Linked DNA regions of Neodiprion lecontei. The protein of the gene in region 1 purifies or fractionates together with the protein of each later gene. This does not show direct contact. Links are inferred from orthologs where the notes say so. Each region holds a gene or a part of one and is shown on either strand. Other genes may lie near its edges.

Region 1 (3,322 bases):
TTACAGCTTCTTCTCGCAAGGTGCTGATTTCTAAAACGCTTTGCTGGTTTAACAGCATTAACTTCTTGTGAAATTCCAGCCATCTACAATTATCGCAATATTGTATGCCGTATGAGAAAATATAGAGCGCAAGATACTTTGTACGAAATGATCGAATTTTCTTGGGATAAGAAAATAATTTACCGTTTAGTACCAATGTCGTCGATATTTGAAGGCTGTAAATCTTGTACGTGAATTTCTATTTCCCATGGTGTTATAATGTAATCCGTTCGTTCCGTCATATTACATACATCACAGAATTGAAAACTTCAGTGCTTATTCAAACTGATCACACGCTCTACTGACATCATCGGCCATTTGTAAATAATTTTCGTATCACGCGTAATCCCGCGTAAATTCGATTGGCAGCTGGCTTGAGCAATCAGTTTAGTTCGATTTGAAAGAGTATTTTAAATTAAAAATAATTGGTGTTGGATAGAAAATACCGATTACTATCGAGGTTCGAATTCCGAATGAAGCAACAACAATTTACGAATGTATACTAAAGTATATTATCTTCAAGAAGTTCAACATATTACAAGTTAGCCGAATAAAAATCATCTTGTTTGCAGACAACTTGTGAGCGCAGATGGAAACTGATATAAGGCGTATACATACGGTGTGTAAGAAAAAACCTTGCTTCATTTTATTAATCTTTGGAATAACGGCTTTTACGAATATACAAAAGAGTGAACACAGATTAACATAAGACTAAACAGTAACATACTTCTAGCGAGAAGCTGAGAAAAATATGTATGATATTCATATTACATATATCGGCAACGCATTACGCGTATAAACGTTACAACATGGAATAATATGCACAAAAAATGTAATGCGTGCTGTATTTTTTTTTTTTTTTTTTGATTTACAATTTTTGTTTTCTCATCATTTTGCGGTTCATAAAAAATAGACTGGTAATGGAATAATTTTAATCTAACTGACGTAATTGTACTGTATCATAACATCTTCCTTTAAAAAAGAGGAGGGCAAAGGTACTCGATCTATAAGTACCCGAAAAATTTAAACAAATCGACGCTGAATGATCCATGTTTACGTGGTTTTGAAGTGATCGTCGGTAAGCGTTGTGTAAATGTGTCCTTCCCCGGCCAGGAAGTCGAGTATATCGTCGACCTGAGGACGGATATGCGGCTGCACCCGCGCCTTGATTTGATCCCTCTCGATGCCGCTCGGCGTGTCGTTTTCGGATTGTATTATCTTGAAGACGGCTTTCTGGTCGTTCGTCATGCCGCCAAGGCTCGCTCCCATTATCGAGGAATCCATCAGCGAATTCTGCAGTCCGACAGGTTGATTCGAGTCCGGGATGCCGATCGCGTCCATGTTGCCGGCTCCAGCGAATTTCTCCCCCTTCAGGTCGACGTATATCGTCTCCAGGAGGTGCAGGGTCAGTTCGTTCAGGTCCGTTATCGGCCATATTTTCATAATCAGAATGTGCTTCTTCTGGTGCTGCTCGCGGAGCGAGCCGAAGACCCGGACGTAGGTGTTCACCTCGATGACCGATTCCTGCGGGGGTTTGTCTGCCTCTATCCAGTGGAAGGCCGTTATCGTCCCGGTTTCGTCCTCTATGTCGTAGGTTATCTTCGTCGCCGAAGGGTCGATCCGTCGGATGATACCAACGGTCGTTATTATCTGCACGTCCGTACCCCAGATTTGCAGTTCCTCCGGGCTGTCGATCAAGTGTTTCATCATCACCGGAACGATGTTCTGGGCCCGTTTCACTCCTCGTTTCGCGTTCCCCGCCGGCGAAGACACCTCCGAAGAGTTAAAGTACCCACCCCCATCATTTGCAAACGCTTTTTCGCCCCACATTGTCAACTCTGTTAACTCTTATAACGAAGAACTAAGGTCACAACTTAACCTCAAATCGCAACAACACGCTTTTTCAGGTTCACCAAACTGCGCGCTGTCTACTGTTTGGCGGGATTTCCATTCAATGGCAATCCTCAAATGTTTATTTCTGCGTTTGCGTTTGCGCGAGACAAGCTGGTGGCGCCATCTGCCAAACACTTGGCGCATGCGTATTGCAGTTGCATTCATGGATAAGGAGTGCATCAGCGCACGTAAATGCATGAGAAGACCGCACAGCTGTCGGTCGCCTTTATTGATTCTTTGTGTTTGAGTACGGTAGAAGGCCTCTGGCATATTGTAAACAGAAACTGTTATCGTGGAATAATTGAAAAGAGTAGCCATGGAAAATGTGTCGAAAAGGAAGACACGGAAGAGGAGACAATCTAATCGAGAAGAAAATAAGGATGTTGACACCGATGTGGATGGTGTAAATTGTAGAGAGCGCATAACCTACGACGTACTCCGACTGATGCTAGAATATTTTAATATTACGGATTTAACTCGGGCGGCTATGGTTTGCAGGTAGTAAAAAATTTGGTCGTTCTGTAATGTGTTCTAGCGGCCAAATATTCCACATCCAACGATTCTCTCCATTGTGGAACTGGTTCTTCAACAATTTATTTTAACTGCCTCTTGCGGTCGAGCCACGTTTTTTTGTTCCATTATTTAAAAAACGAGAACAGTTAAGAATAGTTAGTTTTTTAACTTGGTTCTCCAGGTAATAAATAAAAATGAACTACCCCTCACCGAACCGATATGTTTCAGATCCTGGAATGAAGCTGCCGAAAAAGAAATTCACACTCGACTGAAACCACAACATTTTTTGCTTGAACCTAATACTGAGTCGAAAAAAATTACCGATCCAAAATATGTTGTGGACAAATTGTTCATCCAGCCAAGTGTTGGAATGGTGTTTAATGGCTTTCATACTAGACGTCAAATTTGGCAGCCAGGTACTGTGTGAGGCTTAACGTAACATCACATCGACGCAAGCTATCTAGAAAACGAGAGAAAGTAAAGTCTGGTGAAGCTCTAAAATTTGAAATACTTAGTATTTGCTCACCTTCCCAATAATTTGTTTTTTTCCCATATTTTTTCATTAGAACTCAATTGCTTGAGCATTGTGTTTGATAAGTTGTCAAGCTGCAAAGAAATGGGAAATTGAAAATAATACTTGTCAAGAACTTTGAAATATCGAGTAATATCAAGTGTGTTAAAACAATTTCATCGATAATGAGATTCGTCATTCATCTTCGTTTTCTAGTTTGACTGACATTCAAATTTTTCAGATTGTTTGTGTAATTATTTGCCTCCTCAAACTGATTATATAACATTGACAAACAGTGGCACTATTTATGATGAAGTGGAAAACAAAGCTAGAGGTCTATCCAGTATATTCTTCCCTGAGATTCCT
Region 2 (3,757 bases), on another chromosome or scaffold:
TGCTATTTCAGCATGCTGCACCTGCGCTGGTTGCTCGTCAAGATAGTGTGCAAGCGCTTCGTCTATTAATCCAGCCTGCCGTAACGTTGCTGTGAATACTGTTTTATACCTGGATATTTGATCCTGCAAAACATCCGCTGGCTGTTTCACACCGTCGCATATTCTGAAAGAAATTATTTATTTCTCTTTTATTTCATTATAATGATATTTTATTTCATAACTAGTTGATATTTCACCCACAGCTTTAAATCGTTTTCGAGTCCTGCTCTGAGGTGTGGTTTGGACATATGAAAGCCCATACTGTCGTAGCCCATGACCAATCCAATCCCGAGCTTTCCGGGAATGAAATACTTTTGATCCTTCAGGCCCACGTATTGCCTTGATTTTATTTTCTCGATATGTTCAGCGTGAGTTGCATCAGTGCCAATTCCGTGCTTATCCATTAAAGCAATTAGGTCAGCTTCTGTTAGCAAGTTTGGAGGTGAAGTTTCCCCATCAACCATTTCAATGCCAGTGGGTCTGAAAGTTTGTCCCTCTTCGTATGCATGGATTTCTTTTGCATTCCACGTTTCGTACGGGTACACTTCTAAGTAATTTTTGGCAATTATATGAAGACCACTTGCTATAAATTTTTCCTGCGCAATATCAATGTGAACAATGGTCTCTTGACCTTCTGCATCCTTTGATATACAGGCCAAAAAATGACGAACTATAAACTCGTATACACGAGCCTCATTGCCTGTAATAAAGTGGATTCTTGATTTAAAAAATTGTTATACAGTCAGAAAATTACTCCAAGCGGAAATTTTTACAAATTTTTGGGAAAATTGATCGTTTTCCAAAATTTTTGAAATTTTCAAACCATGATTACGGTCTAGACTAATAGTAAAGTTGATAAAGTTTTGTAACATACCTCCTAAAGTAGCAATGTACTTCGTAGGATGAATCGGAGGGTGAGCTCCATCATTTTTTTTCCCTTGACGTGGGAAAGGCCCGTTTTGCAGTATTTGTTGTGCAAACGGTCCCCACTGTGGACTTGCAGATTGATGTTCGACTAGTGGCACAAGATTGAGTTCCTTGGGAAAAATGTTAGTTTCTGTACGAGGGTAGCTGATAATACCTTGAGTGTACAGTTTCTCTGCTATTTTCATTGTCTCCTTTGCGTTTAGTTTCAACTTGCGTGAACCCAATTTGGCTAATTCCTATAAAATTAATACAATTGAAGTGTATCGGTTGTCATATAATAATAATTTACATAAATCAGTTGTACTAACGACGGTGTCCAATGGCAGCGGTCTCCATTTGCTTTTCGGTTTGCACGTAACTTTTTCTACAGTTGCAGTAGGAGATTCTAAACACATGTCCAGAAATATCTGGCACGGAAGGCGTTCAAACAAACGATTTCTGTCCCATCTAAATTCCACCAATATTCCATCACGATCGTCCGTGACTTTGATTTTCCAAAATGGCTCTGACTTGAAATTTTCAATTGCGAGAAACCTCTCTACTACAAAACCCAGGGTTGGAAACTGGCAGCTGCCATAGCTGATTAACATCTCAGCTAGCGTTTGTGGAAAAACCTTTTGAAGTCTCATTGTTTGAAATCGTGTAAATGCAGCTCCTGTTGGGATAACGTTGACATATTTAACCAATACAACTCTAGCCACATATCATCGTTTGATTAATTAAACAATTAAATTACCTATTCTCAAGTCCAATTCGCTCCTAACGTCGACAGCATCGCTTATGGCTTTGTTCGGTATTCCTAAATTATGAAGTGCTCGAGTCACCGATGGAGCAGTTATTTCCGAAAATTTTGCTCTGAAAAAAATAGCCAAGTAAAGATATACTTCGAACTGGTAGTAACATTTATTGACAGTTTTGACCTTGCCAATAACTACCGGTATATCTTAATGGTGGGCTTCACAGCTTGGCAAACTTGTATAACTTCAAAGCCTATGTTTTCACCCTCTCGATCGCAATCTGTCCATATAATCAGTGCCTGGCAACCCTTAGCCTCCCTCTCTAAGGTTTTTTTTATTTTCATAAAATTCTCCTCGCACTGCTTAACCACAGGTGCTTCAAATAGAGATAGTGGATTACATCCCTGCCAATTACGATATCCTCCGACAAATTCATGATTCAACAGGTGACCAGATACCGACGTCATTATCATTTTGCACTGCTGGCCCCATAGCTGGGTATCAAATTCGTAGATCTTGTTATATACTGATAGTCCTTCTCGCTGAAAATAATTGACTTTACTAGTACTATTGGCGTGTTAATTGTTTATCTGACCAGTTACGATATTTCAGAGTTTGGCAGCAAGTGGTGTTGTGAATTTTACAGATGAAAAAACAAAATAGAAACCAATAGTTACCCGATGCGAAGACCCACGTGAAAGATAGCCAGCTATACCTTTAGCTGCGTCATTTTTTTCAGCAACATTCAACACCTTCATGACGTTTTTACCGCTATTGTACAGCTCTTTGACAGTATCACTGCTACTTAATTTGGCCAGTTGAATCCATGTAGTTCTTAAATCTATAAACAAATATTTCTTAACCTTTATCTTCGTAATTTTCGATGTAAATTTCATGCGGACAAGTAAAAGCGAAGAAATAAAGAAGAAATAGACGTTAACGAAATACTTTTGACTTGATAAGATTAGATTATTGCCGCAATCAATCGTTTGGAATTAACCAAAAATACTCGGTGATTAGAGAAGTGTTTTGTTCACATTCTACTCACCAAAAACTAGCCGGTTGATCTTTGTTTGTAATACAAAATGCATTAAGCAGTTGCGGTATACTGAAAAGTAGAAAACATGAGTGAAAAAAACTCCGAAGCTTAGTGAATTTACGTAAACCTAAAGCATACTTTTTCAAATTAATATTAACTTAAAATAAATTATAAAATAAATCGAAAGTGTGTGTTGACATTTGTTTTCGGTTATGTAGAACTCTGTAGAACTCCAGAATCATGGCGTCTGCTATGCTGCGCAGAATTGCTGGAACAATTTTCTCCGAATGTAATTTACTAACGCCAAGGTAACGTAGATTTTTCACACTGCTTAAAGTAAGCTATATTTTATTGTAGTTGTGATTCGCTTTTTCGTCTTTCAACCTCTTTAGATTAATCAGCTATACAATAAAAAGAAAACCCATTTCTATTTGAGGTTAGGTCGCTTCTTGTCTACCCGTTTATTGCACCATAATACGCAATATTGTCCTGCAACCATTAATATCAGTTCGTGATACTAGAATAACTGGATTTAACTTTACTTGCAGAAAACTATCGACACCGATAGGTTGGAGAACCTTGGCCAACGTTTCAAATAAATCAAAGGATTACAAAAATGAGGAACAATATGAAGAGCCATTGCGATTCACCGGTAGTAAGGCTGATACTTGGATAGCTATGAAATCAAGAACGGGAAAAATATCGGATGAACCTTGGTACCAGATGTACGTTGTGATTGCGAGCACAGCTGCGTTTCTTATATATTTCGGCATTCTAAGGGAAGAAAGCGACATCGATAGACACTTTGATTTAACGCTTTATGATCACATAGAGGGTCTAGAAGAAGTTCAATTAAGAGCTGTCCTAAAGTTTAATCGGGAACGTAATCTTGATACAAAAGAAATAGAGGCGAGATTGAGGGAAATCGAAAAACAAAAAATGGACAAATAGTGTCTGCCGTATTTAGTTTCATTTAATCCTACACTTCGATTGTATGTCCGAAAAATTGAGTTCC
Region 3 (3,757 bases), on another chromosome or scaffold:
GGTGTAGGGACACATTGGACACTCCTGTACGGGTGGCCTAGGTGAAGCATGTGAACGAAGCTGAAGGTTCAGGCCAGAACGAAGAGGAGAACCATGACCAGCGGCACCCTCGGGTACTGAAACGCAAGAACGTTTCAAGATGCGTTTGCACCGTGATTGAAGAAGGCAAAAGTAAGCAGACCTACCGTTAACAATGCTACTGTTGTTGTTGTTGTTTATATTATTATTTAGATTTGAACTGCTGGATTTCCGCTCTTCCTGCAATTGCTTGGAGGGTGGCGGAGAACCCCAGCCGTTTTGGAGGTGCGGGGCGTACGGAGATGCTGGCGGGGAAGGCCCTCGGCATTCGTCATAACGATCACTGTCCGTTGTAGGATCGTCGTCGATGAAGGCCATCATATCGTTCTCCGGGGTGCTGGAAACATTTGATCAATTAATACCGGTTCGCGTATCATAAATCGTGATTACTCGATTTAACGCCCAACTTCAGTCTCGCAGCAAATAGCTCGCTACGCGTTTGACTCGGCAATAAGTTGACGTATGAAAATTGCACAGTGGTTGAGAATTTTTACCGTTTTCTTTTGGTCAAACGACCGTTACACGTGTTCAACATCACGAAGTGTGGTTAGAATTGCGCCTTTTACTTGATCAACGAAATTTTAGACAAGCGATCCAACGAGGTTACTCCTCATGACACAACTACATGCCGCAACTGCCACATATATTTAGTTCCCAACTCTAGGCCTAATTCGAAATATCGAACAGCTGATCTTTTGCAGATCAAGGTTGGCAAGGTTGTAACACGATTGGATAGCAGATTAAGCCTGCTTGATGAGAAGAATTTATCCATCCTTTTACTTGGCGCTAACGTATTTAAACGATTTATTACGGTCGACAAACGTTTTATGCGATTAGCTTTAATAAGATCGGGGATACGTGCTCCAAAACATATCAACTTACAAAATGTTAGATCATCTGACAGTGATTTATATCAGTTGCTGATCCGTTGTGCTACGTATGGTAACAAGCATTAAAAATTATTTGAATGTTAATTCAAATGGCGAATTATATTTATTTGTGGCGGTAGACTGCATTTTTATTCTGTCTGAATCTAAACCATTGATTAAACGTTATAAGTATCGAATTCGGAGATTTATTTTACAGTATGAAAATTGTAAAAAAATACCTTGGAGTTAAGTAGTCTAGGTGAGCGCTGTTCACGTGGACGAGCATTTCGGCAGGTGAAACCTCACCGAGGTCACAAAAAGGGCAGCTAGCTGCTCCTTGAAGATGATAGACTACCATGTGCGATCTCATTTCCTCATCGTTGAAGCCTTCCAGACCGCAAATTTCGCACGTGTAGCTCATTTCCAACGGTTTACTCGATGCCATGTCGATATTTTGAATATTATTCGCTCTATAAATCTGTTTGATATGAATTTGACGTTATTGTTTTTTGACATTTATGTTAAGCAAAATACCAAGTATGTGAACAATTTATTGATTCACTGTTGTATTCTTGAGAAGAAGTAACGATCTTAAGTGTTCAGTGTATGAAAGAATGTGAAAAATGAATATCGTTAAATGAGTATAATAATTACACTTTTTGATTGAAATATATTACAAACCGGTTGAAAGTAGATAAATTATGGTGTTCCGCAAGAGAAAATTTGATTCTTTGAGATTTATTGAACAAATGAAAATAATAGAAGCCGATTCACGAGCGGTGTATTAGTCGGTAAATGTTTAATCTTAAACTTCCGTTGAAAATCGCTAGAAACACAGTCCGCGGGCATTCTAAACCGAAAATTTTTCCAACGCGAGGAAGAGCGATTAACGCGCTATTCCCGGTAATACCTTGGAAGTAAGCATACAACGACGTGTAACTCGCGGGATATTTTCGGTTTGAAATAACCGCCCATGGACTGCAGGCGTTGCTACCGCATATCGTACACAACACCGATTATTCCCACTTGGACGACGGGTCACGAATCAATTGAATCTCGGCCGAAAGGCGACGAGTAACGAAGGTAATTATCACTCGGAATAATCCAAATCCACGAAGACGACACTGGGCAAATAATTAATCCCGGCAACGGTTATGCGCGAAAATATGTGAACCGCACCGTGTATCTCGACTACAATTGACCGTATCTAGGGCAGAGTGTGGGTTGAGAACAGGAAGTGGAGCAGGGTCTATTTGTCTAGGATGACCCATTTCGGGCGTGGGAACCGCAAGGTGTTAATTAAAGATCACTTACTTGCACGGATTGGCACTGGACGCGACGGAACTGTCTACGAGAAAAGCGATATTATGCAACACGGGTCGGGTTCCGTGTAGGCTTGGTTGCCTAACACGGTGCCCTGACTTCCTCCATATGCGAAATTTTCTACCCCCAACGCGCACGGCGCTACGTTTTAGCCACTGTTCCCGTTTCCCCCAGCCTCGGAACGGTCGCGCTTCTTAGAAGGCTGGCGTTTCACTCGCTCCGCGGAACAAGGATGTTGTTCTCACGACAGGGTTCATGGCTTACGGGAGGATAAAGAAACTGAAGAAAGCCCCTTGGCGACGACGCGATGGCACCTCGCGTCACACGTACGGTTCTTTGACAGTTTTCAAGGCATGGGCCTTGGAAGGGGTGCAGTCGTCGTTACTCGCAGGTGTAGTTACAACTGGCATAATGCACGCTTGGCACGAAAATGCGGTATATGCATGGCTGTATTATACATGGCTGTTTATGCGGAAGAGCGTATCAGCCATGGAGCGGATCGAACGTGACCTCGAGATACTGGAACACAGGGGGTCCAAGCCGTGGTGCGCAAACGCGGAAACATCGCGCCTGGCTCTCAACCCCTTGACTACATTTTCAGGTCACGACTACCACCCTCTTCCGGCTTTTACCCCGTCGGTAAACCGACGACACTCTCCGATATTGTTTACTCTTGAGGTTTATGAATTTCGATCGATTTCGCCAGGCTCTAACAAATCGCTACGTTATTCACCGGATGTAACCCTGAACTCCGTTTACAAACAAATCACACCGGTGAGATCAACGTCCCTTGCTGTATTACGTCGCATTAGTTTCTACCGTGATTTGAATCAACGAAAGATAGTCACGACAGCTGTTCACGCGAATAGTAGAGGGTTTCGTATCGATCATCCAGACTGAATTGTAACCATCCGCGGAGCAAAACTTCTCCTATCTGTAAGTCAGAACATTCTTTGCACGTCTTTGCGAAGCCACGAGCCATGCGGTCAAAGTCTAGACCTGACGATTCGACGACCCTTTATATAACTAGGGTAAGCAACAATGGTGGAAAAACTTTGTCAGCGCACGGAATTGCGGAATTTTTACAGTAAATTAATATTACTCCCGTGATGCAGGGTGGTTTTGTACGCGAATGTTTTTATCACTTCACGTGGTTTTCGGTGCACTCTTGACAAGTGCAGTTTCGAACGCAGAAAAATGAAGGAAATGTGTTTGCGTGTTGAAAGCCAAGTTGAAGCATCTGTTAAACGTTCTCCCAAGACTCTTTTCCGCGAAAAGGCTTGAAAAATAAAATATACATTTTTCAAGTCACGTAGAATTTGTGGCTACTTGAACTTGTAACGATCGACTGCCAACCTCGTGTTTTCGCAGAATATTTTCCATCCCGTAGGAATTCAATTCCAAACGACGTCTTGCACGTACAAAACTGTCGAGTGCCGCGTATGATTCTCAAGGGACACCGTAAGTCCGTCGGCTCCGCAGCGTTT

The links.
Region 2: the proteins of replication protein A 32 kDa subunit (region 1) and DNA topoisomerase 3-alpha purify together in Homo sapiens (affinity purification with mass spectrometry; 4 studies listed by BioGRID and IntAct, with this or other methods). This does not show direct contact. The link is inferred for Neodiprion lecontei from reciprocal best matches to the Homo sapiens genes RPA2 and TOP3A.
Region 3: the proteins of replication protein A 32 kDa subunit (region 1) and zinc finger-containing ubiquitin peptidase 1 purify together in Homo sapiens (affinity purification with western blotting; 3 studies listed by BioGRID, with this or other methods). This does not show direct contact. The link is inferred for Neodiprion lecontei from reciprocal best matches to the Homo sapiens genes RPA2 and ZUP1.

The regions. Positions count from the first base shown.
Region 1 is NC_060262.1:40,665,927-40,669,248, reverse strand, and holds replication protein A 32 kDa subunit, read right to left. Parts: upstream 2,009-3,322; 5' UTR 1,870-2,008; coding exon 1,093-1,869; 3' UTR 655-1,092; downstream 1-654. Other genes in the region: zinc finger MYND domain-containing protein 10, read right to left, coding at 1-83, 184-281; F-box only protein 22, read left to right, coding at 2,249-2,430, 2,674-2,861, 3,198-3,322. UniProt on the Homo sapiens protein: As part of the heterotrimeric replication protein A complex (RPA/RP-A), binds and stabilizes single-stranded DNA intermediates that form during DNA replication or upon DNA stress.
Region 2 is NC_060263.1:2,645,255-2,649,011, reverse strand, and holds the start of DNA topoisomerase 3-alpha, read right to left. Parts: upstream 2,725-3,757; 5' UTR 2,600-2,724; coding exon 2,381-2,599; intron 2,246-2,380; coding exon 1,902-2,245; intron 1,822-1,901; coding exon 1,703-1,821; intron 1,622-1,702; coding exon 1,275-1,621; intron 1,203-1,274; coding exon 914-1,202; intron 740-913; coding exon 241-739; intron 164-240; coding exon 1-163. Other genes in the region: uncharacterized protein LOC107225596, read left to right, coding at 2,983-3,050, 3,291-3,693. UniProt on the Homo sapiens protein: Releases the supercoiling and torsional tension of DNA introduced during the DNA replication and transcription by transiently cleaving and rejoining one strand of the DNA duplex.
Region 3 is NC_060260.1:34,343,291-34,347,047, forward strand, and holds the start of zinc finger-containing ubiquitin peptidase 1, read right to left. Parts: upstream 2,735-3,757; 5' UTR 2,262-2,734; intron 1,426-2,261; 5' UTR 1,393-1,425; coding exon 1,187-1,392; intron 847-1,186; exon of another isoform or gene 614-846; coding exon of another isoform or gene 573-613; exon of another isoform or gene 485-572; intron 416-484; coding exon 186-415; intron 117-185; coding exon 1-116. UniProt on the Homo sapiens protein: Deubiquitinase with endodeubiquitinase activity that specifically interacts with and cleaves 'Lys-63'-linked long polyubiquitin chains. Shows only weak activity against 'Lys-11' and 'Lys-48'-linked chains.